Linked DNA regions of Lytechinus pictus. The protein of the gene in region 4 purifies or fractionates together with the protein of the main gene of each other region. This does not show direct contact. Links are inferred from orthologs where the notes say so. Each region holds a gene or a part of one and is shown on either strand. Other genes may lie near its edges.

What was found.
Region 1: the proteins of 116 kDa U5 small nuclear ribonucleoprotein component-like (region 4) and splicing factor 3B subunit 4-like purify together in Homo sapiens (affinity purification with mass spectrometry; 3 studies listed by BioGRID and IntAct, with this or other methods). This does not show direct contact. The link is inferred for Lytechinus pictus from reciprocal best matches to the Homo sapiens genes EFTUD2 and SF3B4.
Region 2: the proteins of 116 kDa U5 small nuclear ribonucleoprotein component-like (region 4) and peptidyl-prolyl cis-trans isomerase H-like purify together in Homo sapiens (affinity purification with mass spectrometry; 3 studies listed by BioGRID and IntAct, with this or other methods). This does not show direct contact. The link is inferred for Lytechinus pictus from reciprocal best matches to the Homo sapiens genes EFTUD2 and PPIH.
Region 3: the proteins of 116 kDa U5 small nuclear ribonucleoprotein component-like (region 4) and ubiquitin carboxyl-terminal hydrolase 39-like purify together in Homo sapiens (affinity purification with mass spectrometry; 4 studies listed by BioGRID and IntAct, with this or other methods). This does not show direct contact. The link is inferred for Lytechinus pictus from reciprocal best matches to the Homo sapiens genes EFTUD2 and USP39.

The regions. Positions count from the first base shown.
Region 1 is NC_087258.1:12,072,922-12,079,795, forward strand, and holds the start of splicing factor 3B subunit 4-like, read left to right. Parts: upstream 1-3,865; coding exon 3,866-3,980; intron 3,981-4,342; coding exon 4,343-4,488; intron 4,489-5,831; coding exon 5,832-5,960; intron 5,961-6,636; coding exon 6,637-6,817; intron 6,818-6,874. UniProt on the Homo sapiens protein: Component of the 17S U2 SnRNP complex of the spliceosome, a large ribonucleoprotein complex that removes introns from transcribed pre-mRNAs.
Region 2 is NC_087258.1:26,234,886-26,242,340, reverse strand, and holds the start of peptidyl-prolyl cis-trans isomerase H-like, read right to left. Parts: upstream 3,009-7,455; 5' UTR 2,611-3,008; coding exon 2,545-2,610; intron 1-2,544. Other genes in the region: N-alpha-acetyltransferase 38, NatC auxiliary subunit-like, read left to right, coding at 7,248-7,455. UniProt on the Homo sapiens protein: PPIase that catalyzes the cis-trans isomerization of proline imidic peptide bonds in oligopeptides and may therefore assist protein folding. Participates in pre-mRNA splicing.
Region 3 is NC_087262.1:12,999,775-13,006,782, reverse strand, and holds the start of ubiquitin carboxyl-terminal hydrolase 39-like, read left to right. Parts: upstream 1-3,983; 5' UTR 3,984-4,008; coding exon 4,009-4,279; intron 4,280-5,146; coding exon 5,147-5,219; intron 5,220-5,898; coding exon 5,899-5,993; intron 5,994-7,008.
Region 4 is NC_087257.1:27,317,429-27,324,302, forward strand, and holds the start of 116 kDa U5 small nuclear ribonucleoprotein component-like, read right to left. Parts: upstream 3,026-6,874; 5' UTR 2,704-3,025; intron 1-2,703. UniProt on the Homo sapiens protein: Required for pre-mRNA splicing as component of the spliceosome, including pre-catalytic, catalytic and post-catalytic spliceosomal complexes. Component of the U5 snRNP and the U4/U6-U5 tri-snRNP complex, a building block of the spliceosome.

The DNA.
Region 1 (6,874 bases), on a different chromosome or scaffold from region 4:
GATGTTATGTAATTGGTTTATTGATATGAAAGCCAATTGATACTTAACCATTTACGTTTGCAAACATTGTGCTTCTGTTATGACCTGATGTTTATGATGCACTGGAACTGCTTAAAGAGATTTTTCTTCGATTCATTAAAAAAAAACTCTACTGCAATAACAATCCATGCAAAATGGAGAATATCTCTGTTAAGCTGAAATGACATACCAATATTTCTTTTTGGGTGGTTATAAATCATCCTTCATGATAATTTCCCACTTGAATATGACATATTTGTATTAAAAAATGTTGCTACATTGTAAAAAATGAGAGAAAAATAAAATCCCCACCTATTTCCAACCCAAAGGGTTACATGTTTCATTCCGACAAAAACCTTTCTGTGAAATACCCCCAACACTCCCCCTCCCCTGTAAGGGGTTACTAGTACTCCTGGCTGAAAGCAGAAACAAAAATCATACAATTTGGATGATTAATAATGAATATTAGGTTTTGCATTAATTATTTCTGTGAAACATGTGCATGTTTTCATGAATATGCAAGAAATAGCCTGATGATGTCACATCCACACATTTTCCACACATGAATGTACAAGGGTTCCATGATATTTGCTCTGGCGACAATTACTCAATGGAAAATCTGCATGCTAAGCAAAACATAAAACTTAATTTTCATGACTAGATACTTCCAATCCTTGATCCTTACATTATTCTGAACTCGCAATAACTATCTTAAATATATAATCAGCAGTCAACCCCATTTTTACATTCCTGGAGGAAAAAAAATAATGATTATGATTTCAGATCACTAGAGAACAAGTGGGGATATGAATATTGCATATGAGATACACAGAACTGTTTCCCCCAAGTTATGTAAAACTTTAAAACTGAATCAATTCATAATTCTCCATCCAATATTGATGGTTTTTGCTAGTCGAATTGTTCTTTATCAAAATCTCATCATTTTTGGCCTGGAAAATCACTTTCATAGAACATAATTTGACCCCCCCCCCAATTACCCTCTGCTTTACAGTTCGCACATGAAAACTCACCAATGACATAAAACAAAGTCCTGTCAAAACCTGTAACATGACAGGCAATGTGTGGTTCTCTCTGTTGGTACCCCACTCTGAGAGGTTCATCCTCGTAGTATTCAAATGGATTCTTCCTGTCTCTTAATCCATGCTGTGGTCTTTCTATGTGTTGCTGAATCTGCATGGAAGTTAAAAGATTGTGTTTAAGAGTCACCATGAATGGGCAATTTATCTTTGAATTTCATTTAATTCAAAAGTGTTTAAAATGAGGAACAGAATGTGAAAGATTATACAGAAATCCTTAAAAAAAAGAAAGGATAAAAATTCTAATTGACATGAGTAGCTTTTCTATTTACCTACTTGTAAAAGTGAAGAAAAAAACCCTGCCAATTGTTGCTGATCATCATCATTGATCAAACCACGCACGTCATAGAGATGCTTCTATGAAAACTGATTTACTGAATCACTTTCAATTGGCTTTAATAATGAAGGCAAGGCACTAATTTTATGGAACTTTGTTTACACAAATAGAGGTTATTGCTTGCGAGTGACTTTCGAATAACATATTTTCATGAATCTTCATCAAAGTCTCATTAAACCTTTTTTTCTACCCCCCCCCCCCCCCCGGCATTCATCAAACTGACAATGCTTTCTTTCTCTCTTTTAAATAAATATTCAACAAAATGTCAGGATTAATTGGAGATCAACAAGCCTAGTGACCAGTAGACAAATATATATGTTAATAACACACAAGCAAGGTCCCCCCCCCTCTTCTTTTTTGTCAATTACTATGACAAGAATGAAAAAGTAACATACATGTCACATGATACATTTACAATTACATGATGAATTCAAATCCCAGAAATAATATTTTATTAAAAAAGGCCATTTTAATGACATTTAATTTTTTTAAAATATGAATTGATAAGGCATACCTCACTCTCTTGCAAGACGGCACAGCAGTTCAAAATTGGAGCCATGTTTGCTTTGTCTTGATTGAGCACAATCTGCCGAGTATGTATGGTCTGTTGCTGATATGGAAGAAAAAAAATAATGAAAAAAATATTTATTCATCAATCATACTGCAATGTCAAGGTATATCAAAGAAAAAAATAATAAAGCAGCTACAAATGTAGATTGATAAAATCCGCTGTTTCAGAGGAGTCGTTCAACATTTTCTGATTTTTTTTTGGTGGGACGGGATGCTGCGGAGCCACATGAAATCTCAGGGGAGCATATCCCTGACAGAAATAAACCTATTTATCGGTCTACTACAAATGTAGAGGACTGAAGATCAAATGCACTTGTCTGTGGTCTCATGTGAATATAACATTGGGACTCCTTGTGAAAAAAAAATACTTGAAACAAAGAGGGTGGGGTAGAGTTTATAATAACCCCCTAAAGAGAGAATTTTCAAAGTTAGACCTCAGTTAGATCTACTCAAATAATCAATTAGGCCTAGGATTTCCATTATTTTTTAATGTTTTGACGACACCGTAAATCTATAAGTGATCGCAAATGCAATGCCGAAGGTCAGTAAAACTTAGTTTTAGTAAAAGTAAAATCAGCTCATTTATAGCTGTTGGAGTAAACAGCGGTGAGTGGAACCCAATCTTTCTTAAATATTTTTTCAAAAAATAATTTAATCAGGGCTTAGCCTTAGGCTTAAGTTAGAGTTGACCCTTATTAAAATATTTTTTTTACTCCAACGATGTTGTAGGACTAACTCTAACATGGCTACCAGGTAAGCTTCATAGCTTGACCATCTATCCAAGCCAAGACAAAGCCAGCCCAGAGTAGAATGTCTAAGTTAGACCGGCTCTGTATTGTAGTGTTAAAAAAAAACTTATTTGTATTGCTGCTCTCCTGGACTTGCCTTGGCCTTGCTTCAGTCTCAGACAAAATTAGATGCACAGTAGCTGTGTTGGCAGGGCCAGGAGGAGTGGCAGGGGTATCGTAGACAACAAAAAATCCATGAAAATCACACGAAATCGAAAATCACTCACTGCCTGACATAACTAGCAAATAGTATCGACCTTTCAATCACGCCTACCTGGCCTGTGTAGTGTATGCTAATTGCGTCTCGCACTGCAATGCTCATAGATATGAACGCACACAAAAGTACATGGCTGGGACTGAGCAGCTTAGAGACGCGACGATAACAATGATTCAGATACCATTTCAAGTTTTCGAGTATACCTTTTGGAAAGTTAAAGCTATCAATAATAGTTACAGATGGAACTGAAGGCTCCGTCATGATTTAAGCTCCAACAATTATGTAATTTACTTACAATCTCGGTCGAAGTCGTGAAATATGAAGCTTTAGATAAGCCGATCACACCGAATCTCGTCTCTGTCCAAAAAACTTTTTTCTTGCAGCAAACTTTTCCGCAATCGAAATGCTGCTCTCTGATTGGTTAAAACAGTGGACTAACTTTAACCCACCGATTTAGTCCACCCCAAAGAGCTGACTAAGTCGTGACGTCAAATGACGCGTTTTATACCCCGGTATAACTTTAGTCGACCTTTGTGAATCGCAAAAGTTAGCCCCTAGGTGCTAACTTTAGTCCATGGATTAAAATGACGTCAAATGACGCGTTTTATACCCCGGGTATAACTTTAGTCCACCTTTGTGAATTCGGGCCCTTGTTATGAACAAAATACTGGCAATTGCCAGTGAAGTTCTAATAAATTCAATTCAATTCAATTCAATTCATCATCGTGTTACATTTGAGTTGAATAATAATAATAATAGGCATTTATATAGCGCCATCTATCTAGAACTATTCTATTCTGAGGCGCGTTGTTATTACTATAGAAGAAAATGACAAATGATGTTTGCTTGTCATTTTTTTGATGATCCAGATGCTACCGTCTATGTCGGAGGCTTGGATGAGAAGGTGACAGAGGCATTACTATGGGAACTCTTCCTACAGGCCGGTCCTGTCGGTAAGTCTCAGTCTTGTTATAAGGAATGAAATGAGGGCTGTAATTTGAAGAAATGAAGGTGTCTTCATTGTGAAAACACAAAGTTAGAATTCTTATTGATGGCTTGTTAGGAGTAAGCTATGTCAAATAGAAGAACAATAATCGCATCCCTTATATACTGTAAATGAGAAGTATGAGTATTTATAGAATACATCCACTAATAGCCATAGGAAATTGAAAATTGAATGGAAACTATGACAAGAGAAGCTGTGTAAAGCCAAAGGATTTCCAATTGATTTTTTTTTCAAGAAATCAGCAAACATGTACTTGTAGTTCTTAGTATTAAGTAGCAACCTCATCTCCAAATTTTCTTTTTCATTCAGTAAACACCCACATGCCAAAGGACAGAGTAACCCAGTCGCATCAGGGTTATGGCTTTGTGGAATTCATGGGGGAGGAGGATGCCGATTATGCCATCAAGGTGCTGAACATGATAAAGCTCTATGGTAAACCGGTCAGAGTGAATAAGGTAAGTTGATACCATGTTGGATGCTGTATGTAAAGAGAAAATTGAATTGTCCCCTATATTAGCCTAAATAGGAATTTAGACGTAATGGTAAAAAGGACAAAGTGGCAGTTAGACAAGATGGGTATATCATAGAACTGTTTGTAAGTTACCAGCTACCTTACGATCGACCGGTGATATTTTCTTAGGAATTATATCAACACCTATAGATGCAATTCTAGTGTATATCATTTAACACAATAATGGATCATCACTCATTCATAAATTCTCTTGTAACTTGTGAAACACCCACCGGGAGGTCATCAGAGGAATTGATCGTACATAAAATTTGATGAGTCTAGGCCTAGATGAGATCATCCAGGCTGCAACCAAATTGGCAGTAGACAAAATAGGGGTGAGACCAAGATCACCACTGACTTAGAATATGTCCTCAGCTCACAGCCAAGACTTTGCACACACATTGGTCTTGAAGGGTAATGCTTTGCCATGGTAATACAGGGAATAATTTTCCTGGTGTCGCATCGCAGTTTGCTCCACATTTTTTAAAGATTGCTGCACATGAAGTCATTTGTATAGCATATTTTTACATAGGACTGTGCATTACTAGTTGAGAGCTTTTCTCTTTAATGACCAAAAAATGCTATTGAAATTTGTAAAGCAAAATTATTCCATGGTAATATTAATATATGCTCTTCACACAAAGCTATCATAACTATGGGTAGTACAATTTCTCCTGTAGGACACAATTTTGCCGTTTCTCTTAGAATAATATTTAAATAATATAGGATTTGTATAGCGCACGTATCCACCTTGCTAGGTGCTCAAGGCGCTCCTATATTACCCCGGCTAAGCTAGTCTACCAATTCTGGTGCACACAGCTTTTTGAGGAAAACTTCTTGCCGGTATATCCATTTACCTCACCTGGGTTGAGTGCAGCATGCACAGTGTGGATAAATTTCTTGCTGAAGGAACACACGCCATGGCTTGCTAGCAATGATACATGGAATGTGGTAAGAAAGAACAAATGTCCTAAAAATAAATGAGATCATTTCCGTTGCAGTATAAGGTACAGTCTGTCCTGAATAAAAGCCATTTACCAGCTAATCATTACACTCCAAATCGGCAACACAATAAAAGTAATAACAAATCAGTGTTTGAAAATGCAAATTGGCAACTATTCAAAATAACGTTTCTTTCATCATTATTTTAAGTATGAAAATGAGTAGAAAATAAATGATTGTTAACAATTTGAAGATCAAAACAGGATTAATTTTGACTTCATGAAAGCTGTGTATCTCGCACTCAATGATATTGTGTGGCTAATAGATCCATGTAAATCTCATTAGGCATCGGCCCATCAGAAGAACCTGGATGTTGGAGCGAATATCTTCATCGGTAACCTAGATCCTGAGATTGATGAGAAGCTCCTGTATGATACATTCAGTGCCTTTGGCGTCATCTTACAAACACCAAAGGTAAAGCTTGATTTACATTCATATAATGCCATAAAAAATGGTTTGCTGCGTCAAAGGGAAAAAGGTTGGGGTCGGTTGGTATTTCTTATTAATGCTTGAAGTATTTTCTCTTTTTTTTCGGGTATAAAAAAGAGTTCCTAAATTTTTTTTTAATGGAGATTGAGGGTTTTTTAGGCACAAGTGTCTTCTGTTCAGAATATGGAGGATGTTCTACTGTCATTTGCCAATTTATAATTTTTTTTATCGCTTTAGAATGTGTAATTGTAAAAAAAAAAATGGTATGAAAATTAGGGATTTTTTGGGCCTTGTTGGCACATTTTTCTTCTCTTTTTTTTTTGGGGGGGGTTCAAATTGGAATTTTTGAAAAATATTAGTCTGCACTCTGCAGGTTTTACCAAGGTTGCAAGGTTGATCGGGTTACCCCAAACAATTTTTCCCTATTCAAACTTGGATAAGGGATGAGGATAATAGTTGCAGAATATTTTGTGAAAATCTAATTCTTCCAAAGGGCCTACCTTTCATAATGTTGATGATTCACATCGTGTTTCATTATTATATGGACCACTATTGAATGCTCACCTTTTCTCTCCCCACAAAAAACAAACTAATCAAAGTATTATATTTAAACAAACAAAAAAATAAGAACAATACTAAGTTTCCTCTTTCTCTCTCATAGATAATGAGGGACGTGGAGTCCGGGAACTCCAAGGGATACGCTTTCATCAACTTCGCCAGCTTTGAGGCAGCGGACGCAGCCATCGAGGCTATGAATGGACAGTATCTGTGTAACAGGGCGATCACCATCTCGTTTGCTTTCAAGAAAGACTCGAGAGGAGAGAGGCACGGCTCGGCAGCAGGTATGGAACTAATGGGTTAATTAATAATTTTCTAACAAAATTGATAATGGTTTGACC
Region 2 (7,455 bases), on a different chromosome or scaffold from region 4:
TAGTACCGGCAGGTGCATGCACCTGGTGAACACCCTACTCTTTTGACGAATAGTGTATTGGTTTTAACGTGCATAGGTTGTGACTCTCGTATACACGGGACCAACATTTGCGTCCTTTCCAATGGACGGAGTGTTTTCCAACTGCATTCACACCTGCACTGAACACAGTGGTGAGGCACACTTACACACAACGCTATAGCATCTGATTTTTTGTTAGATGCGTTTCGTGATGGTTGTTAGTAAAACTATTAAAAATTGCAGTTGCCAATAAGATCTGACCGGGGGGGGGGGGGGGGGGGGCACTGACAAGTGGATACCATGCGTGACCATGGGGTTTCGAAAAGCATTTTTCAAGTTCTGAAAATGTATGCCTATAACAAGTGCAAGTACATGTATTGGCGTGTGAAACCCTAACCTTAACAAGTACTGGAAACAAAATGGTGTAGTGAGTGACTGTATTACCGACCAGCCTTGTATTACCGAACGCGCGCATCGTAGCGTCAGAAAATAATTTCATACGCTCAAAGCCTTGCAACTTTCTTCCAAAGGGAACTTGAATAGAAAGATGATGAAAAATGGTCAAAAACACATTTTCAAAGTATTAATATTCTAAAAATAATAAAATATGGTAAAAGTAGCTCATCACTAGACACTTTTGTTGTTTTCTCAACTTATCCCATAGAAAACACATGTTCGGTAATATACAATACTTTTTTCAAGTGACCAAAATATTTCACATGCGAAGAGGGGTCCGATCGATTGGAAGCTAATATCGTAAAAAGGTAAAACGATTTCGGCAAAATTTTTACATATTTATATTTTGTAGGTAATTGTGTATTTATGGTGAAAGTTTGGGGTGAATTTTGTGAGAGTAATGTGTTCGATATCATACAGTATGATTGAATTTGAATTCATGATAAGTGTGCGGTAATACGATTACGATCCACTTCCATATATGTATACCTGACTGTCCCGAGTATTCCTGAATTGACAACCTAAAGTAAACAAGTCATGACAAGTTGACCTTGAAGTAGATGATCTACAACGATATATTATTCTTAATTTTTGTATTCTTGACTTATGACTACACTGAGGGCATGTAATAGATTTTCAAAGAATACATTGTCATTATTATTTAAGGATGAAGAGTTTGTGAATTTGTATCACCAGGCATAAGACTAAGACTAGAGCAAAAAGAGACATTTTGGGGGTATTTTATAGTCCATCAAGCTCAATCAAAGGGAAAGTTGTTCACATTCACACATCTTTGACTTTGTCGCATATTTTTGCCAATGGCGATGCCATTGAATTGGCCAATTAAATTGGGAGGATCTCCATGATAGCACTGCCACTAGCCACTAAGTTTAGCATGCAGGGGCCCGTTTCTCAACACCGTCATAAGTCTAACTTCTTGACTAAATCGGAGATAGTGAGCTACTTGTCCGCTAACCGTTTCACGAAGCCCTCTTTACCAAGATCGGGTACAACAACCTCACTAAATATTTATGACACATCCGAACCTGTCATAACTTCTTTCTTTATGACGTAGTAGCATCACGTGGGTAGACTATGACATGCAAAAGTGCCTAGAAATTTTAAAATTATAATCTTACGTAATCAATCATAGAGGTTAAAATCACATCACAAAACAAGTGGGATAATGCATTCAATGATAATTGTAATACAAATAAACTATATAAACTGTTGGTAAAACGCCACAAAACTATTCATTTTGAAATAGTAAAATGATTTAATCGATAAAGATTCTACCACGTCAGGCCATCCATAACTGAACTCGTATTTGTTGTTTTCAGACCCCTATTAACAGTTGGATGAATTCTAATTTCTATCTCTAATTTATGCATATAATTTGTCCAATATCGTATCTTTCGGTATCAATGATTAAAAATGTTTCGTTAAACTATATTTTGATGACGTTTGGAATCGTAAAAGTCCGTATAATTATCACCATTTTACAAAAAAAAACGTTATGGTTTACTTTCGTAAACTATTAAAATTGGGTCTGCCGGGCCGGGGGTACCCATCTCAACGTCCACAAGTGATTTTTTAGTCATGAAATGAATTATTCATAATTTGATTTTCTCTGCAATTGAATGCTCCAGTCTTCATGGTCTAAGTATGTATGATGCATAATTCACCTGTGCTATTATTTTGAAAAGATTTTTTTCCCAATTCATCATAATATTTGCAATTTTGTCATATCATATTTATAATTTTTCTTTTTGAAAATTATGCTATTTTGTGACTAAGGCTACGTCTCGTCTGCTCTTTTTACCGATAGTATCGATATCAAGGTATTCTAGTTAGGAAGCCTTTCGAGAAACAGGTTTAGTAAGATTGGAACTAACTCCGTGGTTGGTGGATAAAGATATGCCGATAAGGCGATACATGTATATGACTAACTTGTCCATGTGTTGAGAAACGGGCCCCAGGGCCTTCACAAAAATCAGCACGTGGGACCACAGCACACAGGCACGGAGTAACTAACGGTCCGAGAGCACATGATTATGATAAGAAAATTACCTGCCCTCCTATTGTTATGTCAAAGAAAACAATAGGGTTGGTTGGGTTTGAAGCTCCCGTCGTCATTGCAAACTTTTTAGGACAAGCTTAAGCCAGAGAAACGTGATGAAATTGTGTTCCAACTTCCAAGGGCAAGGTTTTAGCACACCACCACTGCATGCACTAGCCACTCTCTCACGCGCGGTATCGAGGTCGAGAGCGTACGGTATACCAAAGGTGAAGGCGGGTACGGTGATCACGAAGCTGCTGGTTAGACCACTCTAAATGAGCGCAAAGGACCTCAAAGTTAGTAGTTACTGATATCTAGACTCTGGTAAGTAAAAAAAAAACAACTTGGAATTCTAACTTAAGTTTTATTTAGGCCCTAGGTCTCATTTTCATATGCAAGTAATGAAAGAAGCTTGATTTTACCAAGAATAAGATTCAACTACCGGTATTCGTATCATGATATTGTAGTTGGTCTTGGATAATAAGATACTCAAAGTTAATGCATACCCGAATCGGGATAGCGTCGCAATTAAAGAGGCGAAGTAAAGTTTTGCCTGTGATGCGGTGGGTCATCAAACCCTGTGCATCCCCACTAAAATTGAAAATGAAAATATAGAGAAGGTTCAGAATAATATATCTAGCCATAATATAGATTAGAACATATATGATGGGGGAGTGGAAATACACACCAAAATATGGCTTTATTCCGTCAAATTTCGAGCAGGATCTAGTGCGTGTAATTGTCCATAGACATCAGTTTATTTAACTAAGTTAGTCAGTAAAGCCAAAGGGTCTGTGAGTCTAGACTAGTCGAGCTATCGGCTGATAATCATTAAAATACCCCTTCCGGTATCAGCGCTTCTCGCTAGCATAGCGGGAAGAGGTCTTGACCACTCCTAGTACCAATGAGGTCCAAACATTACATGTATGGACCTCATAGGCGACATCAGTAGTATTTTTGGTTAGAAATCTCTGAGAACAGGATATTTATATATTATATCACAAGTACAAGCTATATTCCTTTCTCTTATTTAAATTATAATTTTATAGTGTAAATGCATCGTTAGCAACAACAAAAAAATGAAAGAAATGAAGGGGAACTTACATTTTCACGGCTTTTTCCTGATTTTCTGGGCAGTTGCTCTTCTCTTCTGACTCGCGATCGAAGCTGATATGAAGATCACGTGATTCGCGTTCTCGTCAGCTGATCGGTTGGTTATTCTTTTTGTCAGACGTTAATAATATATATTTTATAATGCTAGCATTCATCGCTAATTTAGGTGAAAGAGATTGAAGTTAAACAGCGCCAGGTCGGAATCATAATTATTTTGGAAGAGTGTATTTATACACTCGATCTCATACCTGACGTAGACGGCGCTATTCAACAAATGCACAATCTTCAATATAAAAAATAAAACAGAAAGAACGCCTTGAACACATGCCAAAATGCCTAACGATTTCTCCGCGGCATTAACAACTATCGTAAAGGGCGCTCCATTTATTAATAAAGATGGATGCATAGCTGTCTATGGCGACAAAATTTGCCGCAAATATTTACAAAGAATTTGTGAGAAATGGTCTGAAAATGCAACAAAAGAACCGGTGAGTACCGATTAAACATTATCAATTTATTTAATAGAACATATTTCATGACTAGAGTTTATTAATTTCTAGATAATATTGCTTAGTTCTAAGCTAGGGCGGCCCAAATGCGCGTGAGTGGAGTCCCAGTTTATTAGCACGGGTAAGTATTGGGGTGTCGCCTAGAGTGGTCTTGACTGCAGATAAAACGAGGTGAGTTAGAGTCCCAACTAAGGTAAGCAACAGTAAAAAAATGATAGAAAAATCTGAGATGAACGAACCGGAAGTCTCAACAATCTTGTTATTTTTGGTGGGGGGTGCATATGGAACTCTTTCCCCCTGTACCTGTATTATACTAAACAAAGTTAGTGTAGATTGAGAACAACATGCATTATGCAAAGGCATGGAAGCGTGATCATAAGGTTAATATAAAATAAAATAAAAAACTAAGACTAAGAGCATGCATGTGGAGCAGGAGTGGAAATAAGCTTGGTGGGGGCACTTGATCTCAATTTTTTTTTATGTATGGGGATGTGCCTCACGAAACCTACCTCAAGTGCCCGGGGGGGCCACTTACATTGACGAGTGGATACCATGCGCGACCAAAAAAACACGTAAAAAGGATGTCTTTTTCAAGATAGGGCACGTTACGTACGTAACGTGATAAGGGTGTCAAAAACACAAAAATAATGAAAAAAGGGTATCTATTTCGCTAGGAAAGCTAGTACGTGTTTAGGGTCAAATTTGCGGGGATGATAAACAAAATTAAAATGTTTTATAAAGGATGTCCTTTTTGCCCCAACACTACGTGTTTAGAGTAATTAGAGTCCGATTTGCGCGAGGTGTGGAAGCTGGGGCCATACTAAACCAAATGGTGTGTAAACTGTAAAGGTAAAACCGACGACCGATGGACTCGTGACATAACAATCAAATATCGCTGTACTTGTTTAGGGGTTCATTTCAGGGAATACTTGCCAAGAGTATCGTTTTGTTTCCAATACTTGTTAAGGGTAGGGTTTCAGACGCCAATACTTGTTAAGGGGTGCATTTTCAGAATTTGGAAAATACGTGTTTAGGGTGCTTTTCGAGACCCCTTGGTCGCGCATGGTATCCACTCGTCAATGGAAGTGGCCCCCCCGGGCTCAAGTGATGTTCGTGCAGGCTCCACTCCACTTCACTACCGCTACAGCCTACACTACGCTCCACCTACCTGAACCTCAACTTGAGGCTCCAGGTCCAAAACTCGCTCTGATACTCCGAGTGGCAAAGGTCGTGAAGGTGGGAAAAAATGCATATTATTGTAAAAATCCTATATACGGAAACTAGCTTAAAAAGAATAAGAAGCTTAATTTCTTACTTTTCATCCTAATTTCACTCCATATCCATCCTCCGGTTAGCCTCAAAATTGGTGATTTAGAGCCAACATCGAGTTCCTCACACGTATAAATAATTTGCTGCCGATTTCAAAACATCGCATGCGCAAGGGTCTGAGCTCAGACCCTCGTGATAATATTGAAAAAAAGAGAAAGAAATCCGTTCCTATACTTCGCATATTTTTTGTAACATCATTCCGGCCGCATTGATCCTCTACAATGAGCTGCATTTTTGGTGAAAGTGGCCTGCAGAGCGCTGTCCGACCATTGCCTATGCGCGAGCACACCCGGCGCCCGTGCCCCCGGGCTAGCTGCATGCACGTTCCAAGGACCCCTGTTTTCTCAAACATTTGTAGTTCCGAAGACCCTCCTTTTTTTTAATGGGATGGAAAAACTTTCACTCGTTACTAAGACCCCGTTCTCATTACCACCCTTAAACTAGTTTACTGGAAACTAGTTAACGTGTAATGAGAACAGTAGAAGCAGTTTTGGAAGTGATCTTCCAAACCAGTTTGGAAAACCACCTCGTGATGTTTTCAAGATCGCTTTGCTGTGTTAAACTGGTTTTAGCGTAAGTGAAGACACAACCGTTCTTCAGTTTTGAGCCTGTTACTCCACACACTTTGTGTAGAATGTCTATGCTGCGGTTTCCAATTTTGCACGAAACATGTCACCTCCACTGAGAGTGTTCCCATAGCAACAAGGCCACTTTACGTGAAGTGGTTTTGAAAACCATTTTCTGCTGATCAATGGGAACGCTAGCATTGAAGCGATCTTCTAAACTGCTTTCCTGAACCGATTCCATGTAAACTGGTTTTAGAAAGTAGGCCTATAATGAGAACGGTGTCTAACAAAATCTTTAATTAGCATAGTTAAAGGGGAATCCAACCCAAATAAAAACTTTTTTTTATTAGAAAAAGAAAAATCAGACAAGTTGATAGGTGAAAGTTTGAACAATATTGGACAAACAACAAGAAAGTTATGAATTTTTAAAAGTTGTAAATATTGGTAATCACTATACCCATGGAGACTTCAAATTGGCCGCATATGGGATGTCATAGTGATGTAAGGCAAGGACTACTCTTCCATGTACTCCAATACATATTATGGCTAAAATGTCATTTTCCCCAAAAGTTTTATTTCAAATTATATTTTTCTTTCATGGGGACATAATACAATATACTACCTGGATTATATTTAGATTACTGCCCCAGGGGAATGGGTACTTATGAGAAAACCACAAATCCCTGATAATAAAGTACATGGCCTATGGGAAAGTTGTCCTTGCCTCTTGTCATAATTTACTTACCCAGTTGCCAATTTGAAATCTACATAGTATTAGAGTTTTCAATTTTAAAGCAGCTATAACTTTCTTATTGCTTGTCCGATTTCTTTCAGACTTTCACTATTCTGTTGGTTTATTTTTCTCCTTCCCAACACAACATTTTATGGCCAAGGCTGGATTCCCCTTTAAATTGATTGAGAGAAAGGAATGCCATGACATGATGTGGTGGTGTTGTTATGTCAGAGATCATGTATGTGAATACAGTGAATTGTGGAAATAAAATTCCGGATGAGATCTTGACTTAGAATTCATCTAAATCTTTAACAATGTTAAATTGTAAACAGCTATGCTAAAATGGGGACTGTGGAAGGAAGGTAAAAGTTTTAATTGTTAACGCAGATAGTCCGCTAAATTTGACTGTAATACTAATATTTTAAAGTTTAATTTCTTCTTGACCCTAGGAAAAGAACGCAGTCATGGAGGATACTAGAATGTCCATCAATGGAGGAGAAGAAAAGCTCAATTCAGCAGCAGAAGATGCTCCAGGTCAGGAACAAGTCGATGGAGACAGAGCGGCAGAGATGAGGAAGAGAATGGAATCATGGCTGAATCAACCGATGAGGATACAGATGACAGATGGGAGGACACTGGTTGGCACGTTCATCTGCACCGATAAGGATCGAA
Region 3 (7,008 bases), on a different chromosome or scaffold from region 4:
CTGTATCCGTAGGATGTACACAGTAGTTTAGTAATAATTGTATCATGTACATCAACATCAACAAGATCTTCTAGCCATTCACAAGCAATATTCTATATATATATATATATATATATATATATATATATATATATATAAAATTCTCCTGGCTATCATTTCGAGAGATAGGGGCCTATCAAAATCCAGAATTTATTCTTAAAATAACAATAGGCCTAAATATCCCGAAAGAGGTGGATTTGATAACAATTTTTTTTTTTTTTTTTTTTTTTGGGGGGGGATTTTTATCTTATTGATCGATTAAACATACCGAATCATTACACAAATGGACAAATCAAACCCGGACAATTATTTCCAGAGAGTAGAGTGTGCCAGAACAAGGACACTCTCTCAAATTTGCCAAGCAATGACGATCTAGACTGGATATAAGGAAACACTTCTTTAGCCAAAGGGTTGTCAACCAATGGAATAAAATCCCACAGTCCACAGTTGAGGCACCAACACTCCTGCAATTTAAGACACCATTATCAAAATTGGGTTTTTAAATGGGCTCTAAGAGCTAGCCTCCTTAAAACCATGCCACACTCATCTGTACACGGCTCGTCGTGAAGACAGTGAGATGTGGCCATCTAGGTAACTTCAAGGTAACTTCAAGGTAAACCACATTGTTTCAGTTGACAAGACCCAATAAATAAGAAAATTTACAATTAAATATTTCCAAGGTGTCATTTTCTATATAAATTTTGTACCGAGTCCGGAATCTGCTATTTGGGTCCGGTGTTGCCCAACGATTGCAAAACTGTTTCTGGAGCATAATTATGAATTCCATAAAATATTTGGGTCTTTGTGAAACTTTTCAAGGAAAAGTATACGTACATGTAAATGTCATTTTCTGAGCAAGTGCAAATGCTTGGAGATCGATCATTTTGAGTCATCCTTGATTGTAGTCATAGTAATTAAAATATATTTGGACTCTATCTCTGCCAACACACCAAATGAATAGATAAACTGGGGCGGTATTCTGAAAACGTTCTTATCTTAATTTTGTTCTTATCTACGTCACGTTCTCAAATTGGTATTCTGAAAACGTTCTTATCTTTTTCTTATCTTTTGTTCTTATCTTTTTCTTATCTTGCTTTCCATCGATGCTGAGCGCGTAAATTTATAATTCGCGCATATGATACAAAAGCGCGCTAAAAGATAAGAACAAAATAAAGATAAGTGGTATTCTGAAAACGTTCTTATCTTTTATCTTTCTTATCTCTTTACGATATTTATGATAATATTTAAGATAGCTAGAGGGTTATCACATCTCAGGATGTCCGCGTTCTTTCTTTCTCAAAATCGATGGCCACTGGTAGTAACAAGTATTCTTTCCACCCTTTCTTTAATTCACCCTTTATTTTGCCCGTCTCTTTTTCTATCTCTTATTTCTTTCTGTATTTATTTTCTCATTTTCTTCATTTCTGTTTGTCTCTCTTTCTTCCTTTCTTTCATTGTTTATTTATATCTCTTGTTTTATTCTTTTGAATCTTTTCTTTTCTTCCTTATTTTTCTTTGTTTTCCTTTTTTCCTTTACTAAGTCTTTATTTTCCCCCCTCTTTCTTCTTTTCTTTCTTCCCCCTTTTTTTCCTTCCTTCACTTTATTTTTTTTTCATTATCTTTTTTATTTCTTCATTCTTTTTCTTTCTTTCATTCATTCTTTCGTCTTTATATTTGTTTTATTTATTCATTTTGTTTGTTCCTTTTTTCTTCCTTCCCTTAATTTTTTATTTTTTCCTTATTTTTCTTTGTTTCTCCTTCTCTTATCATCTTTTCTTGTTATTTTTTATTCTTTTTTTTCTTTATTCTTTCCATCAATCTTAATTCGTTTCTTTTTTTTTCATTCATTCTTTATTTTTCCCGCCTTTTTATTTTCCTTTTTCGTTCTTTTTCTTTATTGCTTTACCGTTCGTTCCTTCAATCTTTCTTTAGTCTTTATTTTATCTTTAATTATCCTTTCATCTTTTCTCTTTCTTCCTTTTTTCTTTCTTTCTCTCCGAGTCTCTCTCTCTCTCTCTTTCTTTATTTCTGGTCTATTTTCCTTTTTTCTCTCTTCCTTTACTTTTTACAGTTTTTTAATTCCTTCCTTTTTCTTTTGATTACTTTCTTTCATTCGTTTTTTTTTTCTATTTCTCTTAAGGTTATTGTATTCTTTCATTTTATCCTTTGTAATCTTTTTATTTTGTCCCTTTTGGTTTTTTTTTTGTAAAGTTTCTTTCTTTTTCCTTCTTTATTTTCTTTCATTTTTTATTCCTCTTTTTATCATTAATAATCGTTCTATTCATTCCTCCTTTTTCTTTCTTTTATTCATTCTTTATTCTTTCTTTCTTTTCTTTTTTTTTAAAGTTCTTTTTGCTTGCTTTCTTTTGTTTACCTTTTCTTTTTTTCATTGTTTTCTGCTTTGTTCCTTTCATATTTTTTTATTTGTGCTTCATTCTGACCCTTTACTGTCTTCTTTTTTTTTAATTTTTTATTCGTATTTGCTTTATTTACCTTTTTTCTTTAATTTGTTTCTTTATTTTGTGCACGTGTCTCGAAATAATAATCAGTCATTGCGTATAAAATGCCTATTTCGCGCAATGTGCCACAAACAGTGTACGCGCAGCGCCCATGATATTCTCTTCACACAAGGAACGCTTCTATTGGTTAAACTTACAATATAACACGCATTTTGATTGGTAATATCCTAAAAATGGGCGTGTTGAAGATAAGAAGGAGGCAGTCCTTACAGAGATAAGAACGCGTTAAGAAGATTTTCAGAATAATACCAACGAACGTAGAGGGCAGCAACACACAAGCGTGTTGCTCTAAGGAAGGTCAACTCCGCTCGAATTTTGTGACCACTTTAAAAAATAAGGTGGGGTTTTGGGAAATTTGTCGAGTTGATTTTTTTTCATTTGTTAATTTCAAATATTTTTTAATGAACAATTATTAGATTGGTTATTCTGGGTATAAATATTAAAAATATTACTTACATTTTTAAAGAAAATATTTAGCTTAAATAATCATGATTTTGACATTTTTCCTCATTTTGGAATATTAAGCCTGTGACGAGGATACCTCATATCTCTTATTTTCTTCTGCTGAATTTCGCTGCACCACTAATAAATGCATAGACAACCACCGTAATAATCGAGGTCATTTTTCTGGCCTGGGTGCGCCCAGTCTGGGCCGGTCGCGCAGCTAGCTAGTGACGTTGATGATGCGCTGGGGCTTCAGGCGACTCGTCATAGATCTAGCAACTTAGACAATGACATCTAATTTGCCTGGCCTGATTTGAAGTGTAATGGCTTCAGGGCTGATGTTTATCAACGATGATTGTTCAAGGTTAGATTTCAAATTTTAAATGTCATTTGACTTTTAAGTCTATAAATCTGAAATAAAGGCGCTGTATCCCCGAAATCCGGGTCTAAATTTCAACTCTGAGTCCGAGACCATGGCATGGACGGCGAAAAAACAACCCATGCATCGGATGCATTGCATTGGCTGCGCGCTGCGCTGCAGCTGCACTGTGATGATGGGTTCAGCGAAGAGCTCAGAGAAAATAAGGTGGTTATATTCAATCCCGAAATGCTTTGCGAGTGGTCACAAAATCGTCTCGACGCAAATCACCTAATACAGCCGTCTGGTGAAATCGCTGATAACAACAATCACCGATTTGGTAATGATTTTAGTTTCTTGAAACTTATATTTGTAAAGTTTTAAATATCAAAGTATGTTTTTATATGTATGTATATTCCTCAACATATTTTTTAAGTTATCTTTGATACGTTGTAGTCATATTCTTTCATATTCGTTTTTTGATCGCTACTAATTTGTTGTTGTATTGGATCGGCATTTGATTTCGTAGGCATGAACAATAAAATACGCGCGCAGCTCAGCTGCATGCGCGTATCGAGTTGACCTTCCTTATAGCAACACGCTTGTGTGTTGCTGCCCTCTACGTTCGTTGGTGAATACCGATTTGCAATGATTTTAGCGTCTTCTTATCTCATTGAGATAAGAACAAAGATAAGAACAAAGATAAGAACGTTTTCAGAATACCACCCCAGATGTATAATAATACTAGATATATTATTTGGAATTTTCACACTGAGTATACAAAATAACATAATCTGTACAAACGCGAACGGCGATGGCGCTTTTGTACTTGTCAAAGAAAAGATGGCGACTTCCACGCAGAATGCGAAAAGACCCCTCGTCGATGCAAGCTATGATGACGATAGTGATGATGATTACGGTATCTATTCTTTGAGTTTATCATCTTTATTTTTTATATTTAATTTAAAAAAAAATTCACCAATAGTATCATTCATATCCTCGGAAAGCCATTATTAATTTAACGTTTAGATTCACTTTGGTCCCACTCCATTATTTTTCAAGTTGGCTAGTGCAGCTGTTCACATTGCAATTGAATTGGGCGCTAATGCAGTTTCGCACCACTCTAGAGTCTAGGCAATTTGCCTATTTAATTTCGTGTTGAGAAAGTGAGTCAAACGGGTGTGAGTTTGGTCGTTAAATGCCAGCCAAGTCCTCTAAATTTCGGTCTTACTTCTTCTTTGACTGTCTGTCATATTATTAATTATTATTATATTAATCTACGATTATGAATTATGATATTGATAATTGATATAAAATCGGTAGGCCTACTCGCCATTTCTTTTTTTGAAAAATTTGGTGATTTCATCCCCTCTTCTGGCCAACTCTCGCGACGGCTGTTGTCGCAATAGGGTCATGTACATGCAAATCCAAGGCGAGTTGTCACCTGACGCTCGCGAGTCTCTACTCTAGTCTAGGCTTATTGGCCTTTATTATTTTTTTGTCATAATTTTACAATGATGCTTATAAATATTGAAATCTGTAGACGAGTCTGTGCAGGGGCATAACAGGGGTATATATTAAGAGGGGACACAGCACATGCCCTGGTGGAAAATAAAAGTTATGTAATGTAACTTGTAAGTCCACAGTGAGCAAATAGAGCAAGAAAAAGATTTTCATGAGAATCTAACTTTGAGTTTGAGATAGATTTTGACAACGTTCTTACATTTTTTACATGCATGTGACCAACTTGTGATGAAATATACTTTTTCTTTATTTCATTCAACAGTTCCGTCTAAGATTCCAAAGCAACAAAGAGAAGACAAGAGCAGAAGTTGCCCCTATCTGGACACCATAAACAGGTGTGAACTACAAAAGGAAACACGGCTGGAGTGACAAAACTTTGGTTTAAGAAAAGTCAAAGATATGGCCTGCATAGCTCTGTTATCCTTTGGATAGTCTTCCCATTGACATTGTGTATATATAATGAATTTATATTCAGATAGAGATGGGGCAGCATCACTTGCTACATTACATGTACATGTAACTGTGTCATGCTATTGATATAGAAAGAAAATGATTTATTTCACCTTTGTGACAAAAGAGTGAATTGATACACTAACTTGGACTCATTTCACTAAATGCCAAATTCCTATTTTATCTAACAACATTTAGTCACAATCATGAATCGAGACAATTGTCTTTCCGTTGATGCCCACAATCAAAGTGTTGATTATTATGGCAAGGTGAAAAAAGTTGACTTGACCTTGTCTGCGATATCCTACTTTACTGTTAAAACATGTGATTTTTTTTTCTTCAAGGAAGAATAACAGAAAGTGAATGAAGAATGAAGTGTAAAATGAAACTGTGTTGTATATATGTAGTCCCTGGTAGAGCTATATAAAGTATTTATAAAAATGAAAGGTAATAAACAAGGACTTGCAATCTAACATAGTAAATGTAAAAATATGTTTTACAGGGTGAGTCCTAATGTGTGCTTTTTATTTTCACAGTGTTGAATTTGTTATTTCTGTCATACAGGAGCTTGTTGGATTTTGATTTTGAGAAGCTCTGTTCAGTCTCCTTGTCTCATTTGAATGTGTATGCCTGCCTTGTTTGTGGAAAATACTTCCAAGGTAAGAAAACCCATATTTTATCTGTATTTTTACTGTTTTAAAACCTTAGTTATCTCTTTAGATTAAAAAAACAATGTAGTTTAGAAAAATTAATCTACATTTTAGTGTAACACGCGGAAACTGATGTAGAAAGATGACACACGACACCATTCCTTGTGTTTCGGTTCGTTTAATATCGATGAATCGTTACATACAAAATTCAAAGTACAAGAACAAAAGATAGAAAAAACCTGTAAAAACCAATAAGAACAAAACCATTAAATAGAATTATATGTTTAAAAAAATGCACAGAATAGAAATATACACATATTTGCTTGTGACTCTAAGATAAACATTCATCAATATGACGTCAAGTGGACTCGTAATAATAAATGATAAACATGTTTTCTATATCCATTCATTAAACTTAATCAATATTGCCTGAATCCAACTCATCTAATCACAAATTCAGTTCCTCCATCGTTATGGATAACTCTTCCAACAAATAAATGAAATACATCCATCAAGTGAAATTTACCAAACAATAATTAGAATATGCCAACAAATTAACATTGAAATACAGTGGTTAATGAATGATAACCACTCACCCTGACAATCTGGCCTAGAGGACCATATTTCCTCTGGTGAGAGCCTCACCCGCTACACGAATGTCATGTCAAATACCTTTAAAAGGAAAGTAACAATTATTACACATAGTAAGCAATCATTGTGACCCTTTACTCTGAAGACACAAAACTGAAACATTGAATTAACAATTCAATAACCAAAATCAATTTAACCAAAATCTTTCACTCTAAAGATCATTTTACTAAATCGTTTCACTATAAGATTAGAACCGAACACATTTTATGTTTACAACTACATACTACAATCAAGTATACAAGTACAAGTAATTATACAAAATATAACAAAATGACATAAAAATCATCTGAAGTAACAAACACAGATGCATAACTAATAAACTATTTAATTCACAAAACCCCTTTAAAATAAGACGGATAACATGCTATGCTAG
Region 4 (6,874 bases):
TTTGACTTTTGAATTTGAACATTCATACATGTATGAAAGTCATATTCTTTATGACATGTAAATATGTTCATTACTATTTATGGTCGTAATTTTCTTGATTTAAGTTGAATTTTGTGTTGATCATGTTGTTATATTCTTAATAAATACTTAATTACCGGGTATAAAAAAAGTTTCCCTTCCCTTGCACTTGCTCGCGATCGCCCAGCCCTCTATCTCTCGTCTGTCGTCTCTGCAGGCATGTGGGGTAGAAAAATATGTGGAGGAAAATATTTTGCTGCAACAATTGAGGCCCAAGGTAGCGGAGGCGGAGCGACCAAGCAGGGGATGGGTGTGGCCCTGCGTGACGCTTTTTGAATTTCGTATGACAAATGGTGCAATTTGAAGCATACTTTTGATGACATTTCTACATACTTTTTGAGTTGGTAAACTGTACAAAAAAATAATAGGGGCCTACAGTTCTGTAGTTATTGAGCCTAACATTAGATCTAGATGAAATAGGCCTAGCTAGATCTACTTACTTACAAGGTCTGAAAGTAAGGCTGTAACCAATTTTTTAATCTGCTCCCGATTTTATCAGATTTTACCACAATCGGCGATCACCTTCCGATCTTCGATCATGCCCCTTGAAGGAAAAAATCGTATATAAAAAATCGGCGTAGATCTAGTTTTAATACAGTGCGTGATCGTTCAGAACATATTTTTCAAGATTTTTTTTGAGGTGCTAGCTATTTAGAGGTCGCATTAATCAGGGAGAAAGACGTGGTATTATCTGACGATGTTTACGAGGATAGATATCTTCTCTTCAACCTCGTGGTGATAGCGGACGCCGCCGTGAACTTTTAAAGGTCGCATTATTGACGGAGATCACTGCTCTACTCTCTTGAATCGTTTATGATAGACATCTTCTCTTCAACCTTGTGGTGATAGCGGACGCCGCCGTGAACTTTTAAAGGTTGTATTATTGACGGACATCACTGCGCTACTCTCTTACATCGTTATCTTCTCTTCAACCTCAATTTATTTGTCTTTGCAACTTCGTCGGGAGATGCTTCTTTTCTATTTCTTCTTGGATATCAAAAGTTCATTTCTCAAGATAGTAATAAATTGATTTGAAAACGCTAGCTCCTCACAACATTTTAATAACATGTTCCGAATCATCGCGTGTGCTTGCGACTTCTACTACGTTTTAATTTCACTTGCGACTTTAAGATACAATGCGTCGTATGAGATCAAGAGATCATTCCAATAATTCTACATCGCTAGCACCTAAAAATACTTATAAAAGATGTCCCGCCGATCGTTCATTAACCTGTGATCTATGAATAATTATTTTCATTTTATTTTCCTTTGCGACTTTGCTCGGAAGATGTGTCATTCGTTTATCTTTCTAATAAAAATCACTCGGTTTATTTCAAAGCAGTAACACCTCAAAACCCTTTTTAAACATGTTCCAAACGATCGCGCATGTTGGCGACTTCCATTTCAATGCATTCGTCTTTGTGACTTTGTCAGGAAGATGCGCGCTAATACTACTAATACGTTGGCTTTACGTACGGGCCAACAATTCATCAGTCTATGTATTGGTGAGTGGAGCCAACGCAGTTCAGCAGAACAACCAAAATACAGAGACTGAAGCGTTTGGTATAACGTTAGACTTAGGCTGGACCAAAAGATTCGGTCTCTGTTATATTGCATGTTCCACTGAATTCTGTTGGCTCCACTCACCAATTACAGAGACCAAAGTTCTAAACTCGATCTGTACGGGGACTCAAAAGGCCATATGTTTATGTATTATTTAAGTTCGGATAAACCAGGGAAGTGGGAGTTGCGCGACAGCCGAAGTAAGTCACTGTTTTTTCCCCTTTTAGGTTTATTTTTTCCCGTTTTGGTGCATTACAGGCCAAAATGGAATAATAATCTTTATTTTGGTCCAGTTCTTTTTATATTATATATTTAAATGAAATAAAGACAAACATCGATGAGCCCCGTCAGGGAGATTTCGCATTGTATACCCCCTAATGGCGGCTGCACGATCGCGAGCTGTCTGTGTACGAGGAGAAATAACAAAAAATAAAAAAATGTTAAAAAACTCCTCGAAACAGAAGGCTGCCAGTGCCAGCTGTCTAACTCTAAGTTAGACTTAGGCAAAATGAGCGGCCCGTCAGCAAACACTAGCGGGCTAGGGTCCCGGTACTACTACGGCGCTGTCCCATTGCACATCATCGACATCACGACACATGCGATGAAAACCAGCTCATACCTTTTTTTGCTAGACTCGAGTCTAGAGTGACTAGACTATTTCAACAGTCGTTTTTACAAATATCGCCTCAAAAAGGCTCAATTACGTACATTTCTACAGAAAATTACGCATATATTTTAATGTCTGTTTTGCAAGGCTAACAATAAAACGGAAGAAATAGGAGGGAAAAAAAGAGGAAAAATAGAAAACGCGGAAAAGAGCAAAGAAGCGCGGAAATGAATTTTAAAAAAAACGCGGAAACCTCACACATGCCTGGCCTGGGAGAGTCTCTGCATGAATGACTTACACAATATGAAATTTATGGGACTACACTTTACTTTGTGGACCAGAAAAAGGTCGAATATTATTCCCATACATTCGAGTATTTGAATCAAAATATCAAAAATAAACGAGACATTCTACAATAAATAAGCATGACATTATAAGATGCTAAGATCACTTACCTTATTACTATATTTAACGGTTTTAATCCAGACAAGAATCTGCCGCTTTTCGTTGACGAAACGCCACCATACATGCGGCGAAGATAATAGTCTAAAACATAAGCGCGTGCATGATCGATCAACAACGAATTGTTAAAGTGGATTCCATTTCAAGCCACGACCAATATCTTATTTTGTTTTCGTAGATATGCAAAGTCCAGTATTTAAAACTTCTTTGCCTCAAAACAATTGTACTTCTTATATTTTGTATTTGAATTCAAGTCAACCTGATAAAACGTTATTACCGCGACATTGCTACTATCAAAGTCTCAATTTTTAGACTACCAATGAGCGTTATCGAACGTCATCAAACAATACCTAGACTCCCCTGGCCACCCCCCCCCCTTCCAAGTTCGATGTCTAGCTATGAAAGTGTAATCTTTAAAGGACAAGTCCACCCCAACAAAAAGTTGATTTGAATAAAAAGAGAAAAATCCAACAAGCATAACACTGAAAATTTCATCAAAATCGGATGTAAAATAAGAAAGTTATGACATTTTAAAGTTTCGCTTAATTTCACAAAATAGTTATATGCACATTCTGGCTAGTATGCAAATGAGGGAACTGCAGGTGACATCACTCACTCACTATTTCTTTTATATTTTTATGAAATATGAAATATTCTAATTTTCTCCTCATTGTCAAGTGATACAATGATTAATTCCTCCCTGAACATGTGGAATTAGCATTGTTTAATACTATATGGTTCAGTCAAGTTGGTCCTTATTGTCAAATCTATAAAAAATGAAATATTGTATAATTCAAACAATAAAAAACAAAATAAATAGTGAGAGATGGACATCATCGACTGACTCACCTAGTTGTGCATATCACTGTTTTGTGAAAAATAAGCGAAACTTTAATATGTCATAACTTTCTTATTTTACATCCGATCTTGATGAAATTTTCAGCAATATGCCAGTTTCATTTTTCTCTATTTATTCAAGTCAGCATTTTCCTGGGGTGGACTTGACCTTTAATTTCATCAACCCCCTTGGCCATCCTTCTTTCCTCTTATGTTCTACCCGCCCTAAATTTGGGGAGCGGCGATGGTGCGCTTTGTGCCCCCCCCCCCCCCCATAATTCTGTCGGCTTCATGTCTTCATTTTTAGAGGATATAGCTCTTCAGTAACTTCTAATCTTAGTTTTTAAAAATTGCTGTGATCATATTGTGATATTTGTAAAGTTGAAATTTGTTCACGGTCAGCCATTGTTTTGCTTCGTTTAAATATTCAGTCAAAGATAGAAACCAAAGTAGGCCTAGAAAACATTAGCTCTCGACCGGCAAAGAATATCAGGGGAGGCCCCAGCATTCGGCGGGGGGGGGGGGGTTATAATTAACAGTGGTATGATGTATGTAGGCCTAGCGTTACGCCTCCTTTGATAATCCCAATTTGTAATTTTGTATTTCCCCTTAATTTATCCTTTTATTTTCCTAATTTTATTCTCAACATTCTGAATAGAGTAAGGCTGCAGGTGCGCGCCAGGGGGGGGGGGCGGTCCCCCCTCCAAAACGTCCCCAAAAAGAAGAAGAAAAAAAAGGGGGAAAAAAGAGGAGAAAAGGAAAGGCGAAGGGAGGAAATGGAAGAAATGTAGCTTTGTGGGTTTTTCTTTTTCTTTTTTTTTCTCAAAAGAATTAGGACCTTAACGAAACCCCTTCACTCTCGCTCTAAGTTTATAATGATTAATTTTGCATACGCGCTTCGCGCGGTTAAATTACAATATTGCAGTTCTCCTTTGTTTCCATCACCCTTTCTCTAACCCTGTTTTTCCACCTCGGCTATAGGACTAGTGTGTTCCTATAGTTAAAGTTCAAGTATGCATTAGGGCATGGCATTAGAGTAAGGTTAGGCCGAATTATATGAAGTTATCTTCTTCTTTCACGCAACATTTCCGCACTGGGGGGGGGGGGGGGGGCTCCGGGCGTGTAAAATCTTTATATCAAATTCTGCCGTCACCTCCATATAGGCCACTTCTCCCGCTTTTCAGCTAGTTACTAAACATTCATAATTTGGGGGCAAACAGGTTTCTAATTTAATAAGAGGATGGTATAAAATTCGTGTCGTATTGAATAAAAAAAGAACAAGGTTTTTATCAAATTTGATGAAACTTCATGTCATTTCCCTGCGCATTCATCTCCTGTCTTGTTTTGCGCCCTCCATGGGCGGAAATCCCAGGGGGGACAGGGGGGACGTGTCCCCCCTACTCAAAATAGTAGGGGGGACACAATATCAAATGTCCCCCTACTATTTTTGGTCTTTTATGATGGCAAGAAATACATCATTCTTAATCGAAATAAAACATTATTTTGGGACGAGTTGGGTCGAGATGACCTTACTTTTGGGATGATAACCTTTTTTTTGCTTGTCAAATTTTCCAGCCCCTTGTCCCCATAGGCGGATCCAGGGGCCCGGACCCCCCCCCCCTGAATTTTCAGAAAACCTCGGAAATCGAACTTTCATTATTTTGTGTGATTTACAAATTGATTTTTAAAAAGTTCTCTGTAAATTTTTTTAGTTTTATGGTCTGAATATTTTGCTGCTTGCGCTCCGCGCTCACAAATTTTGATTTATCAGGTACCTATTATTTTCGTGTATTCCAAATTTTTTCAAAATATCCCTTTTCAGGTCTGATTGTCAAGACGTATCAGCTAGCGTTTCATACTGCCATTTTGATTGGCGAATTATGTATGTTTCAATATTGATTATACAACTAACTACTTAAATTCCCCTTTTCATGACAGTTTATCAAAAATTTTAGCTCGCGATTTGCGCTCGCATTAATGGTTAAAAATATATTAACTGATGCATCCTATTCATATTTACAAAAGTGAAATGTCCAGTTTTTATGCCATAATATCATCAGATTTCGCGCCCTCATTAGGCATTAATAAATATATTAATTTAATAATTAAATTGTCCCTTTTGTTTCATCTCGCGCTTAGGAAGATAGTCATCATTTTCATATGATGACATGTCATAAGGATGTCCCGGGGAGCGTTTCATGAAAGGACTTGTCGGACGTTTTATCCGACAAGTCCTGTTTTATCCGACAGTAACTATAGTAACAGTGCTTCTCAACCAATCAGAATCCAGGAAAGTTGTCAGATCTGACAACTTGTCGGACGAAAATATTGATGAAACGCCCCCCAGGTCCTATGTAAAAACTCAAAGTAATAATAATGAAAATATCAGCTCTTTTTTAAGTGCGATCCATATCCACCTTACAATTTTCCTACAAAGTGCTTAAAGGAGAATGAAACTCTTGGAGCAAGTTAGCTTTTGTGAAAGCAGAAAAATAAAAAAATAAGGTCAACAAAAGTTTGAGTAAAATAGGACTAGCAATAAAAGAGTTATGAGCATTTGAATGTCGAGATCACTAATGCTATGGAGATCCTCCCATTGGCAATGCGACCAAGATCTGTGATGTCACACACGTACAACTCTCCCATTTGGACACTGAAAATATACCCCAAAATATTTATTTTTGCTCATTCTAATCATATGACAAACGATTCATCAATGATATAATGTTGTGAAACCTCTGTACTTGTCATCTCATAAAGAGAACACCTCACCTTGTGATAGACTCTATAAAAGTGAGAATATAAGTGAAATAAGTACTAAAGTAATGAGGGAGTTGTACGTGTGTGATATCACAGATCTTGGTCGCATTGCCGATGGGAGGATCTACATGGCACTAGTGATCTCAATATTCAAATGCTCATAACTTTCTTATTATTCATTCAATCTTCCTCAAACTTTGAACAATGTGTTCCTTTGATTTTTCTCTTTGATATGGATTCAGCTGGTTTCAAGGGTTTCATTCTCCTTTAAAATAAAGCTGAAATTTACTTTTTTTTCAGATCGGAATATCAACGTTTCATGATTTTCATGATTAAAGATGTATTTAGAATGCCTAGATTCTAGGTCTAAACATGCTAAATATGAAACACGCGCGCGCATGTTTATATATAAATCATTATCCAGTTTCAGATCACAATATCAACAATTTTCTGCTCGCGCTTTGTTCTCGCATTATTAATGTAGGAAGACCCCCTGTTACTCATCCTTTTCATGATTTACAAAACATGAACAGAGTGGCCCATTTTAGGTCTAAATCTCGATTTTTT